Linked DNA regions of Caenorhabditis elegans. The protein of the gene in region 1 purifies or fractionates together with the protein of each later gene. This does not show direct contact. Each region holds a gene or a part of one and is shown on either strand. Other genes may lie near its edges.

Region 1 (3,754 bases):
CTGTCTTTGCTCACTCCGATTCTTTGAGATCCGGGGGAAATTAGTGGTTGACGTCCGCTCATGACCTTTTTTCGATGTTTTCCATTCTTTTTTAATCTGAAATATTGGGAATTTTAAAACTTAAGTAAGGGTAATCAAATGAAAATCACTTTTCAGTATCCTCTGGAGCTGAAAAAGTAAGGTAAGAAGTAGTTGGTGAGGCAATTTTGAATATTGATGCACGAATGAGACAACTGATATCAAGAAAGAGGTCAAACTGATAAGGCGTCAAAAAATAGAATCTCATCGAAAAAGGAAAACAATTTCTTTAAAACTTTACAGTACCTGTGAAATTTTAAAGGAGCATAGCTTTTTCCATTGAAAAGGTCCCGCAACGAAATTGGTACTGTGAATTTCAGAACTCCTCTTGGACAAATTCTTTTTGAATAAATCCTTGCTTTTTATTAAAAAATTGTTCCCTTTTGAGTATTTATTTCTGTTGAACTGGTAAAATATATTTAAATAAATATTAATTTAGTCAAATTGCAACTCTTTATTAGTGGAAGCGCCTTTCAAAAACCTGCTCGTATCGATTTCGTTGGCTAAAATGCGAAAAAAGTAAACAAAATTCCTATGAAGCCTAATTAGCGTCTGATAAAGTTTTTAACTTGATACGTTACTATTGTAAAAAGATTTTAAATTCTTTTTTATGTAAATTCGGAAAAAAATTTCCAATAGAGTGTTTGTCATCTGAATGATCATGCGAATGGTCATCCACCAACCGCTTCCGAAAAAATCGTCGAATTTCCCTGCCGCACTTTTGCAGTTTTCCTCACGCCCCTCACTCCGCCCACTTGGCATTCAGCCAACAAATACCCTCGAGGTGGTGAAAGTGCAGCTGGCACGATGCCAAGTAGGCGGTTTCTCTGCGTAGCGGCCGCGAAAGTGTGTGTCATGCGTGTGAGACGATACAGAAAGCGGTGTCCCAGTCTATGACTACTCTCTTCATTCTGCATACTCTCTCGCCACTGTCTGCACGCGTCTCGTGCAAAAGTGCGCTAGTAATTGCTCTTTTTCGTCGAAATGACGTCATTTTTTCGAATTTTGCAAATTGATTTTTCAGTAACAGGTAGAATTTGATTTCAGCTTTCTGCTTTTCTAATAAATTTCAATGTTTTATCGTGAAATTCTGAAGAAAATGGCATCCAAAGTGCATTATTTTGTTTTAAAACTTTTGAATTTTTTTAAATTCTTCATTTTTTATTTAAAAATTAAAAATTTTCTGTTAAAATCAACAATTTTCGTTTACAACACTTGCATTTAAACATTCCCTGCGCTCGCTTTTTGTTTAGTATTGCATTGCAGAATATTTAGAACATTGAATGCCATAAGTACTTTGTTTTTTCTTGATTATCTCTTCTTCCGTTTCATTTTTTCTGTATCTTATTCGTCTGCGCGTGATTCTTTTTTTGTAGAACCTAACAATTTTCTGGTCAGGTGGAATAAGTCTTATGACATTGAAAGAAACGCTGAAACTGAACGTTGTGTTGTTCAAACCAACAAATATTTTGTTTTTTTTTGTATTTAGGTGTTCGTTTTTGTTGTAATTCTTATTAGAGTTCGAATAGTTCACTGATTTTCCGAAACTTTAGACGCCTTCCTTGATTTTTTTATTATTCTTTTGAATGTATTTTCTGTGAAACTCGAATTTCTTACTACTCTTAAACCCAATTAACTTCTTATAATCATTTTTCATTTCAGTTTACACTCCAAGAGTGTCCCTGATACTTTAATATTCTCTTATTCTGTATTTGTGTGCTTGTTAATAACAAAAAGCACCCGGATAAGAAGATTGAAAAGTGTCGAACGTTCATTCCGTGAAGATGAAAAAAGCGGCAGATCGGCCGACTTCGGCGGTGAATGGTAGGCATGAATCGCCCGCTACGTCCACAAATAACACACAAAATAGTGGAACGCCCAGTTTGAATGGACAAGATCCACTGAGGTAAGCTATCATGAATTACATAAGTTAAAAAAAAACATTAAAATTCTTAATTTCAACTAAAACCTCTAATTTTGTTTTTTCCGTATCGATTATTTATTGTTTTTTAAATCTTTTAATTGGCAAAATCAAATTTTCAGCCAAAATAAAACAATTTTTCTGAAATTTCTTGAACTGCAACTACAAATTTTGAATTTTTTTTTTGATGAATTTGGTTATGAAAGTCGGTCTTTTTTAGGCCATTGTTAGTATATTACATCTTTAAACACTAATTTTTCCTGATAAATAAATAATCCAAATAGTTTCAGATCAACGTCATCATCACCTCTATTTGGCACAGAACCACTACCAGAAGATGATCATGCTTCATGTCCATACTGTCAACAAGATTTCCGTAAACCGCGAGTTCTTGATTGTCTTCATTCAATGTGCGAAGATTGTATTATTGCTCAACTTGATGGACACCTTCAAGCAAAGTCAGCTGCCATTGAAGAGAAGAAACGAGCGACTGCAGCAATGTTGGATTGTGAATTGGAAACACCGAAAGTTAAAGAACGACCAACACCTCCTGGCGTAATCCGATGTCCAATTTGTTCACAAGAATCGCATGTTGGAAATGATGTTCGATATGTTCATGCCATGCTCCTGGATTTTGTAAGTTGAATTTTTTTCTGAAACATAGTATTTTGGTCTTTTGATCTACCAAAAACATTACTAAACTTGGATTCAATGTTTTCAATATAATATTTCCAGGTTCGTCTTGCCGAAATGAAGGAAGTTGAAGTTGAGAAAATGGTTGCCCACCATCGCAAACCATGTACTGCCTGCAAATCCGAACAAGAAGCCATCGCATTCTGTGATCAATGCTCTTCAGATTTATGCGAAAACTGCACAACTGCTCATACTGTCATGAACCTTTTCCAAGGTCACACTGTAACCACATTTGCTGATCTTCGGCAGCCTGGAGCCCATCCAGAACTTCGTCAAGTCATGTGCTCCACTCATAATCAGCATATGAGATATTTGTGTGCAGCATGTGAAACAGCGGCTTGTAAGCAATGCCTGGAAGTTGATCATTTGAATCATAAAATCATTGATATCAACGAGCTTGTGATCAATGCTATAAGGGAAGATGTGACAAGTACTGTGGATCGTGTCGAAAAGAAATATAACAATTCTGTGGCTGATATGAATAGCCTTCCAGACAAGTCTCAACAGTTGAATGAACAGTATGAGATTGCGAAGTATCGAGTTGATAAACATTATGAGGAGTTACGCAATTCTATTGAGGTAGGGCATCAAAATTTAAATGTTTTGGAGTTAAAGGGAAAAATATATTAAAATTTCAGGAGGCCTATCAAAAAAGCGTGAACGATCTCGAAGAGGCGCGAATCCGTCAAGAGTCTAACATTGATGAAATGTACCGTAAATCACAAGTTAACGAAGCACGAGTACATGATGCCATCAACTTCACTCGCCGACTTCTTACCAAAGGAAATGGTCTCGAGTTGGTTGTTTCGAGGAAAAAAGTTATTCAACAATTTGGAAACTTGTCTCATGCTATTCCATCTCATGGACACCAAGTGGAACTTGAGTTTTATACTCCATCGAAAAAACAAATTGATCATTTTGTGCATCAACTAACTGGAACAGTTATCGGACGAGTGATTCAGCCAACTGTTAAAGACGTTGGAAATGCAACTGCAGCATCAACTGATAGAAGTGAAAGAGGAGGTTCTCAACCAGGAGGTGGAAGATCTAGCTCAGCAGCTA
Region 2 (3,754 bases), on another chromosome or scaffold:
CAGTCACCATCTGTATATCCTGGAAGATTCATGCAGAGCCGATCGAAGAAATAATAAAATATACAAAGCCAAGATACAATTGAAATAATGAATAGCCATGCAATTATCTGAAAGTTAGTTTTAAAATTATACGTTTACTGAGCAATTCTTACTAGAAAGAAATCGATCAACATTGCGATGACGCATGCAAATTTTCCACCACAGCGAGCTTCATCGTCTGAAAATATTGTACATAAGTTCTCCTAGATCATTGTCATTTTGAACCTTTATACATAGTTTCTCTTGTTCCTCCAGTTGCAGTAAATCCGATGCATAAGAAGAAAAGTGAGAATAGTCCCATTAAAACTGCGATTACAATAAAGAAAACTTGAACCTTGTCAAGCCATGGCCAATCATTTATTTTCAGAGATCTTCTGACTTGCTCTGCAGTTGCATTAAATGCCCAGGACATCATAATTGCAAAGAGAATAACTCCAAGAATGCATAATAATGATCCAATAAGTGATGCATATGGTATTCGATGAAAACAGTCATCTTCTTCTGCGTCCGCATTCAAATGAACGACGGCGGCGTTCTGCGAACGTCTTTGCGCCGCCTCTTTCGTTGATCTTGACACTATTTTGACAGTTTGAAAAATATTATTTCAGATGAAAAATAAGAAACAAATGTAGCCGTGGAATAATTGTAATAAGCAAGTGCAAGCGGGCACCGGGGCAACAAAAAGGTATGTATGAGTGTGTTTGTTTGTATTGCGATCGAAATTGGAAACGGACGCGGAAAGGTGAGATAGTGGGTTGGGAACAAATTTAAATATTGAGACGCAGACAGCTCGCCACGGATGGTCAGTTTTAGCGGAGGAAAGCAGAAAGAGGAGAAGATGATGGTGAGTCATGTTTGCATGATCTTCGATGAGAATGTCGCAAGGTGCCATTTGAAAGTTGGAACAACTCATGTATGACGCAATTTTACATTTCCTCTGGGTGACTTGTGGTGTTATTTTCAATTTATTGAATCAGTAGGAAACACACACATTTTAAAATGAATGTGCATGCAATTGTGATGTACGATGAGCTGCAATCATGAACATCTGGGAAAAAGAGTTGAAGAATACAAAGGAGTCTGCTGCCGTTTCATTGAACACTTTTCAGCGGCACCTGCCAACCGGATATACATTGAGAATTTTTTTGAAAGTGGAAATATGAATATATACAGGTTACTGTTTTCTGAGAAATGGTTAAATTTTGTTAAAATTATATTCAGGAGTTCTTTTTTTCAAAGAACTTCTTAACTTTTTCATATATGGTGACATGGGTTTATCTATCACACAGCCTGAACGCGGTCTTCACAATTGATTTTTTGAGCATTTTTAGGTGGCATTAACTGTAGATGACCTCGTTTTCATCACCTCTCGCAAGCCCTTTTGAGTTTGAGAAAAGCTTATTGAGACTTATGTACTAATATCAAATATTATTCGCAGTAGAATTTGAGCGCTAAATAAATGAGTTGGTGTTTGTGCTCAGTTTACTTCACAATTTGCAAAAACGAAATACATATAAACACAGACTACACAAACTTGTTTGTCCCCTTTTTTACCAATTTGCTCGCCCTCTTATCTATGTCCTACGGTGTAAATTGGAAAACAGACTATCTTATCATTCTGAAAAACGATTTAACTTTAACATACATGTTACCTCATTTTTCTGCAGCGTTCTTCTTGAAAATGGCACGGTTTTTCCTTTTTTTGGCGTTTGTGGAAGTTAATTCTATTATTTCACCTCCTAATGAAATTATCGAAACATCTGTGGAAGTATTCAATCAGTGGAAAGAAACTAGAAATGCGTTTATGGATTCAATGGGTTAGTTTATTAATCGTTCCATCTAACCCTTCAAGTTCCGTGTTACAGAGTACCCAATGGGCTTTCCAAACTTCAATTGTCCCCAACCTCATCGAAAATCTTCCGAATCTGTACATCAGCTTCATCCATCACAAATTGGAGTGATAGCAGCACTAGGCGATTCTGTGTCAGTTGCACAAGCGGCGAAATCATCGTCAATTCTCGATTTATTTGATCAGTTTCCTGGTGTTTCGTTTGTAACAGGAGATGATGTAAAGCTGAATGAGCAAGCCACCTTTATTAGTAATAATTCGTTTTGACTTTCACTTACTTGCAACAGAAGCTTTTCAGATATTTTCCGTAAATTTGCACCGCGAATAAAAGGAGGATCCTCTGATTTTGTTCAAAAGTTTTACGACTTTAACATGGCGATTCCTGGCTCATTCAGCTCGGAGCTTCCCGAACAAGCGCTCAAATTAGCAAGTACATTGAAGAAAAAGCTGGGTAGAGAAACATCTGATACATGGAAATTCGTTAATATTTTCATCGGTCATAATGACTTGTGTAACATTTGCAATAATGAGGTAAAATAACCATTTCACATCGGAGCTAATTTTCATTTCCATTAAAAAATATTTCAGACTACCTTCGGGCCTGAAACATTTGGAAAGTCACTTCACTCGGCACTTACAATAATTCAAACAAATGTTCCAAAGGTATTCGTTAACATAATGCCACCAATAAATGTCAAAATTCACTCACAAGCTCACAAGTTGAGTAAGTTCTGCGAGTTTTCACATAGGTTTGTTTTTCAAAATTAAAAAAAAAATTAAACATATAATTACAGAAAAACATGCTCGTGTATTTTTGAATTAAATGAAAAAGAATATCAAAACATCAAGAAACAATTCGATGAACAATTGAATGAAGTTGTAGAACAATTCAATCAAAAATATGGAAATTCATCTACATTTGCTGTTGTGATTGCTCCAGCCATGGATCTAAAATCAATTCCGTTACTTAAAAACCAGCCGAATATTGGACTATTGGCACTCGATTGCTTCCATCTTTCTCCAATTGCTCATGATATTGCTGCGAAACAAATTTGGAAAGGATTGTTCGAACCAATTGATCAAAAAACAATCACTAATCAATTATCAGTTGGATTCGATAGATTCGTGTGTCCTCCTGTTGAATGTCCGTACCTAAGAACGATTCAAAACTCTGAAAACTGTGAGCCATCAAGAGAAATGAGATTTCTCCGAGTTCCTTCAGCTTTTGCAAGCTCTCCTGGTTTAAGCATGCCTCCATACATGATTCCTGTATTTTTCCTTTTTGGTGAGTTTGGTCTGGGAAAAAATACGTTGCTTATTTTTTTGTGAGGCGGCTTAGATTAAAAGCAGCTGCTATAATAATCAATAAAACCACTTTTCAAATATTTTCATTGGGAGAAAGTTTCCGTTTTCGCTTTTTCAGAGATAAGAGATATAAAATAAAGGGGCACCAATAAACATATTTTCTCAAAAACGCTAGACGCTAATTGCCTGCCCTCAAGGCACCTACGCCTGCGTCTTGTGTACTACCAAATTTGAACTTTTTCACTTTTGAAGATTATGTAAACATACTATAAGAAAAACGGTTTAAAAATATATCAAAAATACTCTGCACGGTGAAAAAATCTAACACCTGAGTTCAAGCTAAAGTTCAAGAAAAAAGGCATAGATGTAGGCAGGTAGATATTCTGTCACTTATGACTAAAAATATGTCTTAGCATTATTCAACTTTTTATATAAACCGAAAATATTTTGTTCCTAGGTACCGCTCTAATACTCCTATTTGTTCGTGCTTCCATCCGCAGTTCTACGACGTCTTCCGAGTTTTCCGATGAACGACATCATCTACTTCTTCCGCTGCGTGCC

Evidence for each region. The genes of interacting proteins can lie anywhere in the genome.
Region 2: the proteins of nhl-2 (region 1) and F13H8.11 fractionate together in Caenorhabditis elegans (co-fractionation; one large-scale study listed by BioGRID). This does not show direct contact.

The regions. Positions count from the first base shown.
Region 1 is NC_003281.10:4,897,066-4,900,819, reverse strand, and holds the start of nhl-2 (B box-type domain-containing protein), read left to right. Parts: upstream 1-1,734; 5' UTR 1,735-1,862; coding exon 1,863-1,984; intron 1,985-2,289; coding exon 2,290-2,635; intron 2,636-2,734; coding exon 2,735-3,271; intron 3,272-3,330; coding exon 3,331-3,754. Other genes in the region: tag-340 (START domain-containing protein), read right to left, coding at 1-62.
Region 2 is NC_003280.10:6,257,922-6,261,675, reverse strand, and holds the start of F13H8.11 (Lipase_GDSL domain-containing protein), read left to right. Parts: upstream 1-1,654; 5' UTR 1,655-1,720; coding exon 1,721-1,856; intron 1,857-1,904; coding exon 1,905-2,138; intron 2,139-2,186; coding exon 2,187-2,419; intron 2,420-2,476; coding exon 2,477-2,637; intron 2,638-2,682; coding exon 2,683-3,173; intron 3,174-3,650; coding exon 3,651-3,754. Other genes in the region: nmgp-1 (Neuronal Membrane GlycoProtein), read right to left, coding at 1-107, 153-217, 265-454.